Xenopus tropicalis: one gene and its partner. The protein of the gene in region 1 interacts with the protein of each later gene in a biochemical or structural test. Links are inferred from orthologs where the notes say so. Each region holds a gene or a part of one and is shown on either strand. Other genes may lie near its edges.

Region 1 (4,377 bases):
TAGTACTCGGCGCGAAGGCTATGAAAAAGTCGCGACTTTTTGCGCAAGTAGTAACGCTACGAAAAAATCGGCAGATTTTGCGCAACATTCGGAATGGCAATGTAAAAGTTGCGACAATTTTCCGAAAAATCGCCAAATACAGATCACTACGAAAAAAAACGCAATCGGACGCATTCGGCCCGTTCGTAAGTAAATGTGCGACATAATGTGCATAACACTATCCATTTGCACATTCCCATGCAATACATTATACCATGTTGAATACAAACAGCATTGGCACAAAGTTTGACGCATAATGTGGTCATACCCTCCAAAAAAAAGTTAAGGTTGCGAAGTACCTCAATGTGTTAACTTTGCAATATGTGACAGGTTCTAGAACAGTTAGGAAACATCACTTCCCTCCACTGCCCTGTATTTTTCCTTTCTGTTTTGGCAGAAGATCAAAGTGCTCCCCCCTGTGGCAGCAGTGACCCAGAAATGAGTTTGATTCACAGAGTCCTTCCTCCATAACAAGTAAATAACGTCAGTCACAGAGTGCATGTGTGTGAGAGGAGACACAATCTGTCCCCCCCCCCTTACCCTCAGTACCACAGCCGCTGGGCTGAACCTTACGAGCACAGGATCACCCATCTGGTTGCGGGGGGGGGACACGTTATACGAGCCCGGCGGAGGTAGCCAGGAATACCCGAGCAGGTAAGAGTCAAGCAAGTAGAGTGCGGGGAGGGCGGACTCCACGTTAACAGGCTTGTTGCACGCCTGTGTGGGCTTTTCAGCGAGTTGGGGGCGAGCCCGGGTGGTTTGAACACTGCCAAGGTCGCTGCTGCCTAGTGGAAAATAATCGAGTACGTCATTAATATGGCGCCAAAAGATTTGCTTGTTGCTAATGTTAGCGGGGGGCTCGGGGCTTGTTGGGTAGCGAGTTGTTAGGCTGCTGGGTGGGTGTGTACGCGGTTCCTATAGTTTGTATGGGGCGATAGTGGCAACTTTTGCCAGCTTTATATATATGCCAAGCGCACGTACACCATTTGTGTGCCCCGGCGGCCCGAAACATCGGTGTGAATGCGCGCTGCTGTGTCAGCATCATGAGCCGCCTGAGAGGGCGCGTTGCTTCTCACTTGTGAGTGTGTCTGTGTGTGTATGTGTCTGTGTGACTGTGTGACAGTGCCGCAAGGTGTCCCTGCTCCGAGCGATACTTCTAGGAAACGTGGCCGCGGTGTGGTAGGTCCGGGTTAATGGACTCACGGCCGGTGTTCTAAGACCTGCCATTAGGTGTCCCTCTATGTAGGACTGTAAGCTCATCCTTCAGTAACTAGCCATTTATCTAATCCTTATGGTTAATTAGCCGATAGTATGGATGCCTGCAGGCAGCGCAGAAACTTATGTAACCCGCTGCGTACATCCCATGCTGCTGCTGCTGCAATGTGCGGCATATGGGGCAGGGATGTTGTACAGGCAGGGCTCAGGCTCAGGCTGGAGTAAAACTACTAATGTGGAATCTTGTGCAACAAGAGTTGGTGGGCTTGCAGGATTAATACTTTCACAATTATTTCAGTGGTTTCATGGGCTCCATGGTGAGTGAGGCATTTGCACATCGCAGCCTACATTTTTATTATTAGTATTTTAATAATGCAACTTTCTGATCAGCTTTGGCATGACTCATGGGTAAATCCATTGACACTGGTGTAGAACTTGTTACTTTGAATCAATTTTTGCCAACATCATGGCATTTGTATTAGTGTTTAGGCCAGTTTTGTCCTCTGTGATTTGGGCACACAGAAGTAGGAGTGCGGCCAAAACGTTCGCATAGGGGGGATGGATCCAGAATGATAGAAATGTATCATGCGTTAGGGCCAAGATCTTCAACTTCAGCTTGTCTATTTATTTGTAAACTATAGCTCCCAGCGTTCTTTACCAATGGGAAGGAAACTTGTGTGGTTCCTTTCAAAAATTGTTCAGGGTTCTGCATTCCAAATTTGTACTACACTTCCCAGTGTGTGTAATATAGAACCCAAGTGGATCATTATCTTTGGCAACAGGCTAAAGGGGTATGTGCATTTGGTGGCTTTTACTGGATATAAGCCAGTATAAGGGTTCAGTCCGAATACAAAATTGTTTTATTTTTTCTAAGTTTTTGAACTGTGCATATTTTATGCAACTTTTTTAGTACTGTGTGACAATTTACGCGACAAAATCGTATTTGTTGCAACGAGTACGAAAGTTTCGGATTTATTCAAACTTCTGTATCGTGACTTTCCTCCATTGAGTCCTATTGGAGGCTTCCAAAATCATGCATTGAAGTTTCAAAGTCAGAAAGGGTTTCCTGCTGTTTACGATCGTTCGGATACGACAATTTCGTGCCTTTTGCAAACAATTGTTTCAATACGAAAATTTTGGATTGTAAGTATGAAATTTTCGTATTCAGACGGAAAAAAATTTCGGGAAATTTGCGATCATCAGAAATGATCGGATTTCGTGATTCGGATTAGTACTTTAATGAATGGGCCCCTAAGTGTACAGAAACGCATCTTAGAGGGACATGGATTGAGTATGGCATCCACTTGTAGGGAAATGAATGTGTTTTGGCACTTTTGAGATCTCCTGTTAGCGCACTTCTTACTAATGTATGCATGCTTGCACAAAAAGGATTTAGAGCCTTACTATCAAATAAAACACTTTGTCTCATGGACACTTGTATGCCTTTTGTTCATGTATGAAAACTGTTAAAATTATGACATGATTTTACAAGTCCCTCTAAATAAAACCACTAACCCAAAACACTTATTGCAAGTCAGAGTTGCAGCTTAACATGCAGAAGTGTAATTGCAACTAAAATAATACAAATATATATGCACATATTTATTTCTTGTTGCCGTGGCAAATGGTTAGGCAGCAAGGCCAGTCATCATAAACCCTGGTGCACGTATCAGTAACCCTTGCACAAGCATACTTTTCACACGTGTTGGTTGCTCTTTAGATCTGTGACATGGCTTTGTGCCATGTAACGGTTTTACAGAGACCGACCTCCATGGGTGAGTCATAAGTTACTCTGCGGGTCTGGCATCACTGTGCTAAAAACAGCTGTGGCCTAGACAGGGCGATTGCTTAATTGACTAGATTGTGGTTGAAATGATATGGCCTGGGGATATTGCAGCTTATATGGCCCAGAATATTGTAGCTTGTCTAACCTATAATGAGTGACTGCATGTGTGCTACTGTGCTATAAGTTGTTTATGTGCTGAAATACCAAAATAACAAAAATACACCACTCACATCTTGTTGCAAAACATTCTAGAAATTGAAAGTAAGTTCTGGAGCATAAAGTTAAGATTGTTTAAAAACTAACAAACAAAAAAAAAAAAATATGAAAAAGCTTTTGTCTCATTCATTGCTGCTACTGCTGTGTGCCCACGTCATGGTTACGACGACACTGTGTCATGGCCAGCTGTCACTTTATATCACCTTTCACAAATAAACTTCACCCATTTTGGACTTCATCCATAAAAAGAAAGCACCTGGTCAGAATCTTTGTTATGCACCCTCCTACTGACGTTCCTGTAAAGGATGGACTATGTCATTTGATCCCTTGTACACACAACATGTAAATGTGCATGGTACTTAACTCATTCAATGCTCCTAACATACTGCTTCCATTGTAGAATCCTTAGGGCTAAGACACACGCAGCAATTAGCCAAAAAATCATGGCGACTAATCCACGCTGTAAAAAAAATGCACGCAATTAGTTGCAGTGACTTATGCAGTACCCTATGGCGGGAAAGTCGCCACAATCGCTCCATGTGTCTTGGAGTTTATGTTTAACCCTTTGAATGGCAGGCAGTTTATTTTTTATGAAATTTAGCAAAAACTATTTTAGAAAATGCCCTTGAACATTTTGGGTAAAATATGTTAGGAAAAATAAAATTATTATTTAAATTTACTGGCAAAAAATATTATTGTGAGAACAGAAATTTGTATTGTATTGTGCCATTCTTGTTCACTAATTAATTTTTGTTTCATCTTAAAGGGGTGGTTTATGTTTACAGTAACTGTTAGTATGTTATAGAATGTCCTGTTACTAGCAACTTTGCAATTGGTGTTCTTTCTTTCTTTATTTTTTTTTATAGTTCTCAAATTATTTGCCTTCCACTTCTATATCTTTCAGTTTTGAAATGGGGGTCACTGACCCCAACAGCCAAAAACGATTGCTCTGTGAGCTTACAAATGCATTATTAATGTTACTTTTATTACTTATCTTCCTATTCAGCCCCTCTCCTGTTCATATTCTAGTCTCTCATTTAAACCACTGCCAGTTGCTAGGGTAAATAAGACCATTGCAACCAGATAGCTGCTGAAATTTCAAACTGGAGATCTGCTGAACA
Region 2 (3,824 bases), on another chromosome or scaffold:
TATGAACTAGATACGTGGTATCATTCTCCTTACCCTGAGGAGTATGCCCGCCTGGGGCGACTGTATATGTGTGAATTCTGTCTCAAGTATATGAAGAGCCAGACGATCCTTCGCAGACACATGGTAAGTCAGAACACATTCCTGCTTTAGTAAATTTAACACTTGTAGCCAGTCTGTAGTAGTCCACAATATCTAGTTCTTCTTACGTATTTGGCCCTAGCCCTCAAAATGCTCTTCTGCCCGACTGCAGCATTGTGATCGTATCATGTAGGGCTGCAAATAAGCCTGTTCGCATAAACTAAAAATATAAAGAACATTTGCTAAATGGTGTATACATACAGTCAACTTGTGTGTGTGGTTAAATGCAGGTTTCTTGGTGTTCGCAGTTCATTTTGCTCCAGTCTCACATTCCTAAGCTCAAATCTACCTTCAGTAACTCTGTTGTAAGTGAGAACCTTTTTAATGTGTAACCTTCCTATCAATATATCTCCTTCTAGGCTAAATGTGTTTGGAAGCATCCACCAGGGGATGAGATTTATCGTAAAGGCTCCATCTCCGTCTTTGAAGTAGACGGAAAAAAGAATAAGGTAAGTTTGCGAGATTCTTCGACGAATGCGCAAGCCTCAGTTGATCCCTGGTAATGTAAAACACAGTGCCATTAAACCTTCTCTCCAATTACAGATATATTGCCAGAATCTGTGCCTTCTTGCAAAACTTTTCCTGGACCATAAAACACTATACTACGATGTGGAACCATTCCTCTTCTATGTCATGACCGAGGGAGACAACACTGGCTGTCACCTTATTGGCTACTTTTCCAAGGTATCCCTCTATAAGCATGGCTGTGGCTGTTGTTGGGTCACACAATAAAACAAAGCTGGGTTGAATAAATGTGCTTGGAGTTCTTAGTTGGCTCCACGTGAGGCCCTGTTATAATTTAGCCTAAGAAATGGTGGCTGTTTAAAATTCTCTTATGTAGACTCTGCATGACAGATCTGACTGATGTGAGTGTTGAAATATATTGTGCCTGTTAAGCAAATATAACAGTCACGTTATGAATTAACACACTAACAAATGCATATATACAGATGGGTTTAAATGCATATACAGGTATGGGAGCCATTATCTAGAATGCTCGGGACCTGGGGTTTTCCAGATAAGGGATCTTTACGTAATTTGGATCTCCATACCTTGTCTACTAAAAGATTATTTAAACATTAAATAAACCCAATAGGATAGTTCAATAAAGATTATTTGTATCATAGTTGGGATAATGCACAAGGTACTGTTTTATTATTACAGAGAAAAAGTAAATCATTTTTAAAAATTAGAATTATTTGCTTATAATGGAGTCTATGGTAGATGGCCTTCCTGTAATTAGTAACTTTCTGCATAACGGGTTTCCGGATAACAGATCCCATACCTGTACAATGCTGATACCTATGTGCACATATTGCTTGTTGATTGTGGGAAAAATAACATGAAAATCAGTCTGGTTGTTTAATTTGTATCCAATAAATTATTTTTTCCCTAGGAGAAGAACTCCTTCCTCAACTACAATGTGTCTTGTATCCTGACAATGCCACAGTACATGAGACAGGGTTATGGCAAGATGCTGATAGACTTTAGTAAGTATTCTGTTTCCATGCATTACTTTCCATTACTCTGCATAAACTTCAAGACCTCGTTGCCTCACTCTTTGCCAGACACCACATCTAAATTGAATTCACAAGCTGCTAATCTCTTCCCCAGCAGCCTTTTTTTCAGTGTGACTTAATTTTAATGTGGACTTTTCTATATGGATTGCTACATATTAAAGGAACAGTAACACAAAAAAATAACTTTTGACATATCCCTTCTAAATACTTTATTAAGATATGTAGCATTTAAAAAAATTGAATATTCTACATGGTTTCAAAATAAATTACATTACCAATGCCTTACTGTGCAGAGCTTGAAAAGGCGATACGGCGACTTCCGGTTTAATCCGGAAGTTAAATGCTGCATTCTTCAGAGTCCGTTTTGTGTGATTTATGGGCTATTAGCAGTTGGGGAGAGGAGAGGGGATTAGAGACGTACCGTTTCTTCTTTACAGATAAGTCTGCATCGCTGTTTGAAGTAGCGCTGTGTGTGCCTGCATGAAGAGGGAGGGGGGGTGGAGGGGGGAGCGGAACGGAAGTGTGGTGCGAGAACTGCTGCCTGCTCTCTATAAATCAGTGCTAAAGTAAGATTTCTAAGAAAAACTACTACTGCTGTTGAAATTTTTGTATGATATATTTGATAATGAAAGTATATAGAAGGGATATTTTGAATGTAAAAAAATTGTGTTACAGTTCCTTTAACTCTCAGTCAGCAGGTAATATAAAGTAATTGCATATAAAGTGCCTCTGTTCTGCCCACAGGTTACTTGCTGTCTAAGGTGGAAGACAAAGTGGGTTCACCGGAGCGGCCTCTCTCTGACCTTGGTCTCATCAGCTACCGCAGCTACTGGAAAGAAGTTCTGCTCCGCTACTTGCACAATTTTCAAGGCAAAGAGATTTCCATCAAAGGTGTGTTCTACTGTTGCTCTAGAACAAGTCATTGTGCAGAGGGAGAATATTTTGTGGCATAATGACCATTTCCTCCTTCCTTCCTCTTCCAGAGATAAGCCAGGAGACCGCAGTGAATCCAGTGGATATAGTTAGCACCTTGCAGGCCCTACAGATGCTCAAGTACTGGAAGGGGAAACACTTGGTGTTAAAGAGACAGGTAAAACTACTATAAGTTCTTGTTCCCTTCACATAGAAGATAGATCCTAATATGCAGGAGCCCAAGGATAAGCGGTAAGATATAATTGGATAAAATGTGCTCAGTCATGTCAGACCCTTAGAAGGAGTCACTATAGTTCTGTGACTTGTATAAAAGCACTTGGCCTGCCTTCATATGGTCATTAAATAACGTCTAATATCAATATAGTGTACAGTACTCCTGATTGTTACCTATATAATATAGAGGAACATACAGTAGTCATCATGGCCACTATCGGGTACTTGATAGGCCTTCTGAGACTTATTAACCTGCATTACACAACTTCTTGGGCCTCATACAATCTTGGGTCCCTGGTGTTACTTACATTACCTGCCCGGGCAGTCAAAAATCCTGGCTGCTTCTAGGCGATCATAGTTCCTTACTTTTACATAGAGAATTGTCTGGACATTTTGCGAGCAGCTTATAGATATCCGAATCCACCAGAATCATTACAGTACATGTTTTGTGGGTATTTCCTAATCAGTTCTATTAAGTTATGTTATTGCAGAATCTTACACAGTAATCCTAAGTTGATTTTTTGTTTGTTTGTTTTTTTTTCTAAAACCACACAGGATCTGATTGATGAATGGGCATCCAAAGACGCAAAGAGAACCAACAGCAATAAAACAATGGACCCTAGCTGTCTAAAATGGACACCTCCTAAAGGAACTTAAACCTAATGTTGCCATGACTCTCATTTATTACCATTCTCCCATCTGTTCGTTATGCACACTTTCTATCTTGGGATGGAAGCTCCAGCTTTCTCCCGCTTGCTGCATTATAAGCATTTGTGTGTCACGTAGGGCATTGTTCTGTAATTTCCCTGGAAAGTTACACCCGCTCGCTCTGCTTATCATCCTGGTAATTTGCTCCACATTGGATGCCTTCCACTTCTCCTTAACTCCAGCATCACCCCAGTGGGTTCCACGCCACAGTCAAGCTGGCATAGCAACAAGCTTAGTTTACATCTCTGCCTTCCTGAATGCCCACGGTAACTGCTCTGTTTGTCACTTGTTGTTTTAAAGGGATTCTGTCAT

Evidence for each region.
Region 2: the proteins of jade1 (region 1) and kat7 form a complex in vitro, tested with the Homo sapiens proteins (2 studies listed by BioGRID). The link is inferred for Xenopus tropicalis from reciprocal best matches to the Homo sapiens genes JADE1 and KAT7.

Annotation. Positions count from the first base shown.
Region 1 is NC_030677.2:64,096,146-64,100,522, reverse strand, and holds the start of jade1 (protein Jade-1), read left to right. Parts: upstream 1-1,356; 5' UTR 1,357-1,571; intron 1,572-4,377.
Region 2 is NC_030686.2:14,519,365-14,523,188, forward strand, and holds part of kat7 (histone acetyltransferase KAT7), read left to right. Parts: coding exon 1-123; intron 124-497; coding exon 498-587; intron 588-681; coding exon 682-822; intron 823-1,534; coding exon 1,535-1,628; intron 1,629-2,402; coding exon 2,403-2,549; intron 2,550-2,641; coding exon 2,642-2,748; intron 2,749-3,359; coding exon 3,360-3,461; 3' UTR 3,462-3,824. UniProt on the Homo sapiens protein: Catalytic subunit of histone acetyltransferase HBO1 complexes, which specifically mediate acetylation of histone H3 at 'Lys-14' (H3K14ac), thereby regulating various processes, such as gene transcription, protein ubiquitination, immune regulation, stem cell pluripotent and self-renewal maintenance and embryonic development.